Macaca mulatta: one gene and its partners. The protein of the gene in region 2 interacts with the protein of the main gene of each other region in a pairwise test. Links are inferred from orthologs where the notes say so. Each region holds a gene or a part of one and is shown on either strand. Other genes may lie near its edges.

Region 1 (3,747 bases), on a different chromosome or scaffold from region 2:
TGCTGGGATTACAGGCGTGAGCCACCGCGCCCGGCAAGCTTGTGTTCTTTACTACTCTACAGCTTTGTTCCCCAAAGCCTCCCACTCCTCTCCTGAGACCCTCCTTCCTTCCCTCCCTCTCCGCCTCCCCTGGCCCCTGCAAGCCTCACCTAGCAGCCAGCGTAGGAGGAAGTAGTCATCAGCATTGGGCAGCATGGGCAGCAGGTTCTGGAGGTTCTCCCGGAACTGAGCGGGGGAAGAGCTGATGGTCAGCGGAACTCTCATGACCTTGGGGGCCACCAACCCCACCCCTAACCCTTCCCACTTCATCCACCAGTCAACTCCACCTGGAGACCATGCAGGGTGCTGCCCTGAACAACTTTGCCATCTGAAAACAGGGAACCCTCCAGCCCAACATAGGAAAAAGAATTGGGGGGCCGGGCGCGGTGGCTCAAGCCTGTAATCCCAGCACTTTGGGAGGCCGAGACGGGCGGATCACGAGGTCAGGAGATCAAGACCATCCTGGCTAACACGGTGAAACCCCATCTCTACTAAAAAATACAAAAAAAAAAACTAGCCGGGCGAGGTGGCGGGCACCTGTAGTCCCAGCTACTCGGGAGGCTGAGGCAGGAGAATGGTGTGAACCCGGGAGGCGGAGCTTGCAGTGAGCCGAGATCCGGCCACTGCACTCCAGCCTGGGCGACAGAGCAAGACTCCGTCTCAAAAAAAAAAAAAAAAAAAAAAAAAAAAAAAAAAAAAAGAAAAAGAATTGGGTCCTTCCCAAAATTTGGGGGTGCCCTACACACAGGACTCCCATTCTACCTGTCTAAGGTGGGGCCCTGGCATCCTTATTTTTAATTTTTATTTTATTATGATTTTTATTATTTTACTATTACTATCATTATTATTGAGACAGGATCTCACTCTGTTGCCCAAGCTGGAGTGTAGTTGCGTGATCTTGGCTCACTACAACCTCCGCCTCCCGGGCTCAATAGATCCTCCCAGCCCAGACTCCCAAGTAGCTGGGACCACAGGCACACAAGACGCCCAGCTAATTGTTGTACTTTTTGTAGAGATGGGGTCTTGCCATTTTGCCCAGACTGGTCTCAAACTCCTTGGCTCAATCTGCCCACCTTGGCATCCCAAAGTGCTGTCATCACAGGCATGAGCCACCGCACCCGACTGCCAGCCTTATTTTTTCAAGTATCCCTGGGAGATTCTGCTGCAGGCCAGCTAGAGGGTTTTAGGAATGTTATCCCTGATACTGCATCTTAAGGGTTTAGATTTAGAGGCAAGTTACCAAACCTCTCTGAGCCTTAGTTTCCTTATCTGTGAAATGGGGATAATAATAAACTTGTGCGAACCAAAGGAGTTTGTGCACGTAAAACACTTAGCAGGCTTGGCTCCAAGCAGGTGTCAGATAAATGTGAGCACTCAGCCAGCGTGGATTGCCTGATGCCCCAGACAGTGGAGGCTGTGTGGGAAAAAAACAGAGGCAGAGGTCAACAGACAGGGGCTGAAAGAGAAGCCACGAATGCCTTATCAGGACATCTGTTGGGGCTGTCGGGGAGTAAGCGTGCCTTTTCCTACTGGCAGAGTTGAAGGATGTCATTTAGAGTTTGGGTCTGTGACTGAGGCTTGGGTCTGAGAAAGAGAGGCGATCTCACTTCCCTGGGGACTAACAGAGCTGAAGGCAAGAGCTGGGTTTGAAGGTGAATCTGTGAATCCGAATTTGGGATTAGAAATATGAGGCCAGGCGCAGTAGCTCACACCTGTAATCCCAGCACTTTGGGAGGCCAAGGCGGGTGGATCATAAGGTCAGGAGTTTGAGACCAGCCTGGCCAATATGGTGAAACCCCATCTCTACTAAAAATACAAAAATTAGTCGGGTGTGGTGGCGGGCACCTGTAGCCCCAGCTACTTGGCAGGCTGAGGCAGGGGAATCGCTTGAACTCAGGAGGCGGAGGTTGCAGTGAGCAGAGATTGTGTCATTACACTCCGGCCTGGAGGACAGAGCAAGACTCCATCTCAAAAAAAAAAAAAAAAAAAAGATTACAGATAGGGAAGTTTGGGCCCTGTGAACAAATCACAAAGAGAAACCAAACAAACAAATGTTGCAACCTGAGCATGAAAAGGAGTCTGTCTACCCAAGGCTGCCCCAGCAGCCAGATGGCAGCGCCAATCCCTCCCCCACAACCGGGGAGAAGGACCAGGGCCGGGTGGTGGAGAGCAAGCAAGGTCAGAAGACTGGATTCGGCCCCAGATCACCCAGAGAGAGACTCCTGTCCCGCGTGCTGCACGTAGCGGCCTCAGCAACCGCACTCAGGACCAGAGGGCAGAACAGCGGCGCTCTCTCCAGGCTCGGTGTTCCAGCCCTTACCATGGGGGCTCCAGCCGAGTTGGGCAGCGCCAGGCTGCACAGGGCCCCTCCCCAAGCCTCCCAGCCCGCGATGCCCCTCACCCTGGCCAGCGCCTCCTGCTGCTGGGGGCTCAGGTCCCCGACTCGGCCGCTCATGGTGCCCGCGGGCGCAGGTCCGCCCGCCGCCTGGTATCCGCTGCCGCCTGGTTGTGCCTGCTGGGCCAGATGTTGGTCCCGCCCCGACGGGAGAGGCGCTGGTCCTGCCCCGCCCTGCCCAGTTCTCTCCTCCCCTCGAGGATTTTTTGCTGTGGTCACCAAGCGCACCCTACCTGGGACAGGGAGGTGACCTGCCGGGAGAATGACCTGGGGCAGCTGGAGGCCCCCACCTCCAGGCCTCCTTACTGCGGGGGCTCCCGCCTGTTCGCAGGTGGCAGGAAAGATCCCGATCCTCTTTCCAGCAAAATGGAGGAAATTTTTTTTTTTAATTTTTTTTTTTCTTATTTTGAATTAAATAGAGACGGGGTTTTGCTATGCTGACCAGGCTGATCTGGAACTCCTGGCCTCAAGCAATCCTCCCACCTCAGCCACCCAAAGTGCTGGGATTAGGCATGTGAACCACCACACCTGGCCAACATGGAGGAATTTTTAATAAACCTGGCTCAACTCTCTAGGACCCCCAAGGCTTTTGTCTAAGGACCCCCAAGCTCCTTCCCCTGCCTTGAACACAGTCTGGGACCTGTCAGTGTTCACTGACTGATAGGACAGCCTTATGTGCAAAATGGTTCCGGCCCTCAAGACAGTTGGAAGGATAAGAGGATGTACCCCGGGTCAGCAGAATGCCTGGCATTGCCTACTAAGTGCTGGCTGGTAGGAATATATTTCAGAATTGTGTTATTACTGAGGCTGTCACCAGAGCTGGGAGCTGCAGGGGTGGAGATACTGGGATGTCCCAGGTGCGGAGCTCCTGGGTGAGAGCCACAGTCTGAAGGCGGAGGCATGCAAGGTGCCAGCTGAGGACCAATGAAAGCCCTGGGCAGAGTGACAGAGGGGGCGGAAAGCCAAGAGGCCGCTCTGCCTGACACAAGAGAGCCAGGTGGAGATCACCAGGAAAAGCAAGAAAAAAGTTCAGCCGGGCGTGGTGGCTCATGCTTGTAATCCTGGCACCTGGCACTTTGGGAGGCTGAGGCAGGCGGATCACTTGAGGTCAGGAGTTTGAGACCATCCTGGCCAACATAGTGAAACCCTGTCTCTACTAATAAATACAAAAATTAGCTGGGCATGGTGGTCTGCGCCTGTAGTCCCAGCTACTTGAGAGGCTGAGGCACAAGAATCGCTTGAACCTGGGAGGTTGAGGCTGCAATGAGCTGAGATGGCGCCATTGCATTCCAGCCTGGGCGACAGAGCCAGAT
Region 2 (3,747 bases):
AGAAATGAAGAAATGCTCTTAAATGCTTTGTAATGAATAAAAGTACTTTTTGAGGTTTTAATACTACCTTACTACAAAGAGAATCTAAACTAGACAACGAAAAACTAAGCAATTTCTTTTTCTTTTTTTTTTGTGTGTGTCACTTTTCTGGTTAAATTGCTGTTTCAAAACAGAATAGGAATTTAGAATTTCATTACTGAATCTTTTTCTATCTCTAAGGTCTTTATAACAGATTAAGGAAAAGTACACAGATTCCTTTAAACATTTTCTTTTTTTTTTTTTTTTAATTCCAGGCTTGGCAGTTTTCTAACAACTGAATTACAATTTAAATAACTTGCTACATTTTAAATAGTGCCATTTTAATGCAACTCTTGAGAAAAGACCAAAAAAACAAAAAGTTAATCACCCTTCAACTTCTAAACCTTTAAAATTTTCTATTTCTTTAAACATTTCCTCCTTACTTTTAGGGAATCCTTCCTCCTCACAACAGCACAAAATACAGTGTCAATGAACAAATTTAAATTGTATTACATTTTAAAATCCTGTGGGTCTTAACAATACTCTATACAGAAATGGTTGTTTCCTCTCTCATTTGAAAAAATTGTAAGTATTACATTTATGCAATACATCAATAAAGTTTGATTAAATCGCCAAGAGGCTGAACTTAACTTACAATGCTAGGCATTCTTCATTACTTCCAAACAAAATCTTTCTGATAACCAATAAATTAACAAAACATTTGAAGTCATCTTAGCACTTCTAATCTACACATGCTTTGAATTCACAAATTTACAGGATTATCTGAAAGTCTGGTGTCACTTAAGTGGGAAAAGGGAAAGCTGAAATATTTTAAACTTCACTTAGTATTCTCACAACCACAGACAAACTGAAATCAAATGTCATGTGAAACACCCCAATTTCCTTTTCTGCCTACAGCAGTAGCTATGGCATTGTTCTGCTCAACCTTTTAGAAAGGTTCTTTAAACTTCCTACTTCCTCATCTCCACTAGACATCAACCAACTTCTGAGGGTCACTGGACCAGGCAGTTTTGGGATGCGAGTCAAGTTCATAAACGGTGCCCCGTCTTCACTCTCTTAGGTACAGCATTTAACATATGCATTTAGCCCTCCCTGCCTTTGCTCACGCTGCTTCCTCTGTCTGGAAAGCGCCCCCCACTCACCTTGGCAAAATCCTGGTAAAAGACCAACTCGAACCCAGGCTACTTAATTTCTCCCACCACCCCGGCTCTCCCGTCCCCCCAACCTTGAGCTCCAGGCACCCCGAAACCACGTCTGTGCATACAGGAGGCTCTTCCCTGCTCTGCAATGTTTCTTATAAATTTATTTCCCCCCAAAGGGAGAGATCGAGCATTTATTAAGGGAAAATATACAGTCAAATAAGTGATAAAGTTGTATTCACTACTACCCATTATTTTAAAGCACGGATATTCTAAAACTCCTCTTTCCCCTTATTTCCAGCGGGAAGGAAGGGGGATTCAACGTCTCTATTCGTCAGATTAGAAACTGTGTGCTTTATCTCACAGTAAAAATTACACACTCTATTTTTTTTTTTTTTAATAGAGACAGGGTCTCTGTCGCCCATGCTGGAGAGAAGGGGCGCGATCTTGGCTCACTGCAACCTCCACCTCGCCCAGGTTCGAGCGATTCTCCTGCCTCAGCCTTCCGAGTAGCTGGGATTACAGGCGTGCGCCACCACGCCAGACTAATTTTTGTATTTTCAGTAGAAACGGAGTTTCAAAATGTTCGCCAGGCTGGTCTCGAACTTCCGACCTCAGATGACCCGCCCGCCTCGGCCTCCCAAAGTGCTGGGATTACAGGCGTGAGCCACCGCGCCCGGCCTACACCTGGTCGATGCAACATTAACACTTAAAATACCACGGATTTTTAAATTCGTGTTAAAATACCACGAATGATTTTTAAAGCCGTGCAGCATTTTGTACAACTGTCAGTACAAGGGGGATCACCTCTTTGCATTTGACGAAATTAAAAAGGGGGAGAGAGCTTGCCCGAGGTTTGAAGGTTCCTCATTCTTGTTCTAAAACATAAAACCACCACTTCAATACATATCCATTTTTAACATGAGAACTCCTCGTCCTCCTTTAGTTCGCTTATGACTTCCCTAATCCTAAAATCAAGTCATTAGGAATTTATAAGTTTCCTGCTATGACAACAGGATCAAATTACAGACCGCGGCTTGGATTTTGCACGCAAGCCCTGAAACAGGTAACTTTTTTAAAAGCTGACAATTTTACCATATGAGATTTTAAAGACAGAACGCGCCCCAGCCAAAACTGAGCTCCCTAAACTCACAGCGGCAGGACCCCAAGAAAAGCTCCTTCCCCCCGGCCCAGGTCCCCGACCCGGAACACTCACCGGAGGCCATGGCTCCGTTCCCCGCACCTTCCCGCAGGCAGTTCCCGGCGTCCTGGCCAGAGGCGGCCGTGGTCAGTCAGTCAGTCAGTCAGGAGGCCGAGGGACCTCTGCCGGCGGGGCCCCCAGTCCCCCGACCACCCCAGGGTCCTCCTCCTTCTTCCCGCCCTCCGCTGGGTTTGCGGCTCACACCTTCCCACCCCCTGAATTCTTGCGCTCCGGGTCACCAGCGTCGCCCGTCCACCGTGCGGGAGCCAGGGGCAGGGGGCGCAGCAGGGCGAGAGCCGAGTGCCGGCCAGGCCGAGAGGCTGGCAGCCTGGCGGGAGGGGAATTTCCCGCGGCTGACGTAGGCCCGGCGCAGCCTTCAAGCCGGAGGCGTGGGGCGGGGCGTCCTAGCTGCCGTCGCGCGCGCGACCGCCCCCAGCGCCCCGCCCTGCCCGCCCCCGCTCACGCTCACCGTCCGCCCCGGCGCGTACGCCCCCGGCGCTGCTGCGGCGGCGGGCTTGGGAGGGGGTCGAGGGAGCGGGAGCTTGGGGTGGGCTTCGGGAGCACAGGGAACGGCGGCAGCCGGGAGGTCGCAGCGTGAGAAGGCCGCCGGCTCCCGCGAAATCCCCCTCCTCCAGGTTGTTCTTCCGAGTGTGGTTTAAAGTTCAGGAGCGGGCGGGGGGGTGCGGATGACGTAGAGAGGGCCGGCCGCCCGGGAGCTTTTAGGGGCGCGCCGGGCGGCCGAGCGGGGCCGACCCTCCAGGCCGGGGAGGGCGACGCCCGGGGTTTTCGAGAGGTGGTTCCCCCTCTTCCCGACTTCGCGCATGCAAATCTCCACCCCCGCGCCAGCGCGGAGGGGGAAGTGCGGCTGCGGCAGAGCCTGTCTTCTTCTATAATTCCTCTATTTGCATACGGGGACCCCCCCACCCGGCTGATTTTTTCCTCTTTCTATCTAAATTGCGAGGGTACTGTGAACTTTACGTCTTTTACCTACTGAAACCCGTTTAAACTCAAAAGGTCCGCACATCCAGGTCGTTGTCTCATTACGCAGTGCGCTGAAGTTTAGTGGACACTGTATCCTGAGATTTCACACAGATACCAAGAAAGGGGGAAATGGAGCAAACATTTAGTGCATTAAAGGACCTAGGATAACTTCGTTTCCTTCATTTGAATAGTACCTGCTATGCGTCAGATAATGTCTATACCTAATCTATGACGTATTTATTATTCCTAATTGTATAGATGAAGTATTCGGGGTTCAGAGAAGTTACTTCAATATACAGCACTTCCAAATGCTGGTAAGAAAAGGCACAGTTTAAAAAAGCCAGGGTTGTCTGACTCCAAAGCTCCATACCCTTGCCCCATCCCTTA
Region 3 (3,404 bases), on a different chromosome or scaffold from region 2:
AATCTCTTACTCCAAAACACAAACCCTTTTTTTTTCTTTGGTGACAGGGTCCCTGTCACCCAGGCTGGAGTACAGTGGCACGATCTCGGCTCACTGCAGTCTCTGCCTTCCGGGCTCAAGCAGTCCACCCACTTCAGCCTCCCAAGTAGCTGGGACTACAGGCATGTGCCACCACGCCCGGCTAGTTTTTTTTATTTCTTTGTAGAGATGGGGTTTTACCATATTGTGCCAGTTGGTCTTGAACTTCTGAGCTCAAGCAAGCCACCCCGCTTAGCCTCCCAAAGGTCTGAAATTACAGGCATGAGCCATCACGCCCGGCCATCAGAACACAAACCCTTAACCACTAAACCCATTGTAGACAATTAGAGGGAGATGGGGCTGGAAAAGAAGATAGGGTGTACGCCACAGACAGCCCCAAATACTCTGCAAAGGAATTTGAACTTTATTCTGTATACATTTGGAAACAACAAATGGCTTTTAAGTCCAAGAGTGATGCAATCACAGTGACGCATTAATAAAGGTTACTGAGGAGACAGAGCAGAGCACTGTGGCTGGAGGCTGGAAGCCTGGCCAGGAAGCTGTTGCCATTGTCCAGGTGAAAGGTGCTAAGGACCTGCTTGGTGGCAGTGGGGACAGAAAGAAGAAAGCAGGCCAGGCGTGGTGGCTCCCACCTGTAATTCCAGCACTTTGGGAGGCTGAGGCAGGGGGATCACTTGAGACCAAGAATTCAACACCAGCCTGGGCAACATGGCAAGACCCCATTTCCACAAAAAAAAATTAAAATCAGCTGAGCGTGGTGGCACGCACCTGTAGTCTCAGCTACTCGGAAGGCTGAGGTGGCCCTTGAGCCCAGGAGGTTGAGGCTGCAGTGAGTTGTGATTGAGCCACTATACTCCAGCCTGGGTGACAGAGACCCAGCTTTAAAAACAAACAAATGGATTTTCCCACTCTTGTGTCCAGTCCAGGCCCCTCAGCAGCCTGAGGTGGTGTCCTTCAAAGAGCAGAGCACTGCATCATCAGGTGGATGCAGCCATCATCTCCAACCCCCTGCCCTTCATCCCTACAGTACTGACGGCCTCATCCTCCCCTTCAACCCCCAGGGACACACTCAGGACACCAACACCTTCTTTCTGTGCCGGACACTGCGCTCCCTAGGGGTCCAGGTTTGCCGAGTCTCAGTTGTACCTGATGAGGTAGCCACCATTGCAGCTGAGGTCACCTCTTTCTCCAACCGCTTCACCCATGTCCTCACAGCAGGGGGCATCGGCCCCACTCATGATGATGTGACCTTTGAGGCAGTGGCACGGGCCTTTGGGGATGAGCTGAAGCCACACCCTGAGCTGGAAGCAGCCACCAAAGCCCTAGGAGGGGAAGGCTGGGAGAAGCTGTCATTGGTGCCCTCCTCTGCCCGCCTGCATTACGGCACAGATCCTCGCACTGGTCATCCCTTCAGATTCCCACTGGTCTCCGTCCGAAATGTCTACCTCTTCCCAGGCATTCCAGAGCTGCTGCAGCGGGTGCTGGAGGGGCTGAAGGGACTGTTCCAAAACCCAGCTGTTCAGTTCCACTCAAAGGAGCTGTATGTGGCTGCTGATGAAGCCTCCATTGCCCCCATTCTGGCTGAGGCCCAGGCCCACTTTGGACGTAGGCTTGGCCTGGGTTCCTACCCTGACTGGGGCAGCAACTACTATCAGGTGAAGCTGACTCTAGACTCAGAGGAAGAAGGACCCCTGGAGGAATGCCTGGCCTACCTGACTGCCCGTTTGCCCCAGGGATCGCTGGTCCCCTACATGCCCAACGCCGTGGAGCAGGCCAGTGAGGCTGTATACAAACTCGCTGAATCAGGTAGGGACCTTATGGAGGAGGGGCAGTATGCCCAAAGCCATTGGTGCCACCCCAGATCTCAGTAATGCAGGGGCTGTTGGGTGCTTCCTGCAAATCCCAGGGAGGGCAGAAGATAGCTTCTGTTAATTCATTATTCTTCCAATAAACGTTGATTGAGTACCTACTTTCATCAGCACTGTGCTAGGTGTTGGGAATATAGCCCAAAAGAATAATGTATGCCCTGCTCTTGTGGACGAGTGTTTTAACAAGAAAGATGGACATTAAACAGGTGATCCTGCATGGGGTGATGAAGGGAGTGATCTCCCACAGCAGGGAGATCAGCCTTGATCTGGGGTCAGAGAAGGCAAAGTGACATAAACTGAGCGATAAGGAGGATTTGGTCTAGTAGGTGGGCAAGAGCCAATAGTATGAATGATGGCCTGCAAGGAAGCAGCATGGGGTTTAGGGGAATGGAAGGAAGCCCACACCCCACGCCCCCTGCTACGGAGGAATGACACTGAGGCTACCGTGAGGTGTGGCTGGGTGGCAGATGGCAGGTCAGGGGCCAACTCTGCAGGGCCTAGTGAGCAGCATGAAGGAGTTTGGACTTTATCCTCAGACAATTGGGAAGATATCGAAGGGTTTAAGCAAGGGCAGCATGCCTTCACTCCCCTTTGATAGCCATATGTGTCCATCTGATGCCCTCTTCCCTGCCTGCTTGGCAGGGTCTTCTCTGGGGGAAAAGGTGGCAGGTGCCCTACAGACCATTGAGACCGCCCTGGCTCAGTACAGCCTCACCCAGCTCTGTGTGGGCTTCAACGGGGGCAAAGACTGCACCGCCCTCCTGCACCTCTTCCATGCAGCTGTGCAGAGGTGAGCCTGCCCCCTGGGAGACAAGACCCCTGATCTGTTTCTCCAGTTCCACATCCCAGAAAGCAAGGGGAGAGGGAGTGTATAGGTGGAGTTCAAGGGGGAGATAGTCTTGGTGATCTCTCAGTTCCATTCTCCCACCATATTGAGCATATGATATGTGCCTGGCCTTGTGTATGGATGTGCAGGCCACTATCCCTGACCACAGGGAAGTCACAGTCCACTGGGGAGATGGGAGATTTACATACCTGAACCAGGGATGCGTGTTTAGATTTGAGAGGTGAAAGGTCAGAGTGGGCTTCCCAGAGGAAGTGGGTCTAATGGATGGAAAGGACAAGGAAAAGAGAGAAGGGGTGGGAGTCTGTTCCAGGGGCCAAAGAGAACAGTGAGCTGTTTCAGGAGAGCCATTTCCCTGTCCATGCTGGCAAGCCTGTGGATTCTTCCCCCTCCGCAGGAAATTACCTGATGTTCCAAACCCCCTCCAGATCCTGTATATCCGCAGCATCTCCCCTTTCCCTGAGCTGGAACAATTTCTACAGGATACTATCAAGAGGTACTAGGGGCCTGGAGGTTTGGGCTCCAAGAGAAGCTTGACAGAGCTCACTCCCGACCCCTACTTCTGTTTCTTCCTAAGGTATAATCTGCAGATGTTGGAAGCTGAGGGCAGCATGAAGCAGGCCCTGGGTGAACTGCAGGCACGGCACCCCCAG

Evidence for each region.
Region 1: the proteins of REL (region 2) and SEC14L4 interact in binary tests that used the Homo sapiens proteins (3 or more experiments, as listed by UniProt). The two-hybrid records come from large-scale screens. The link is inferred for Macaca mulatta from reciprocal best matches to the Homo sapiens genes REL and SEC14L4.
Region 3: the proteins of REL (region 2) and FLAD1 interact in binary tests that used the Homo sapiens proteins (3 or more experiments, as listed by UniProt). The two-hybrid records come from large-scale screens. The link is inferred for Macaca mulatta from reciprocal best matches to the Homo sapiens genes REL and FLAD1.

Annotation. Positions count from the first base shown.
Region 1 is NC_133415.1:21,040,101-21,043,847, reverse strand, and holds the start of SEC14L4 (SEC14-like protein 4), read right to left. Parts: upstream 2,605-3,747; 5' UTR 2,495-2,604; coding exon 2,441-2,494; intron 242-2,440; exon of another isoform or gene 226-241; coding exon 150-225; intron 1-149. UniProt on the Homo sapiens protein: Probable hydrophobic ligand-binding protein; may play a role in the transport of hydrophobic ligands like tocopherol, squalene and phospholipids.
Region 2 is NC_133418.1:63,901,120-63,904,866, forward strand, and holds the start of REL (proto-oncogene c-Rel), read right to left. Parts: upstream 2,713-3,747; 5' UTR 2,405-2,712; coding exon 2,395-2,404; intron 2,245-2,394; exon of another isoform or gene 1-2,244. UniProt on the Homo sapiens protein: Proto-oncogene that may play a role in differentiation and lymphopoiesis.
Region 3 is NC_133406.1:112,014,592-112,017,995, reverse strand, and holds part of FLAD1 (FAD synthase), read left to right. Parts: intron 1-1,100; coding exon 1,101-1,845; intron 1,846-2,549; coding exon 2,550-2,697; intron 2,698-3,148; coding exon 3,149-3,247; intron 3,248-3,328; coding exon 3,329-3,404. UniProt on the Homo sapiens protein: Catalyzes the adenylation of flavin mononucleotide (FMN) to form flavin adenine dinucleotide (FAD) coenzyme.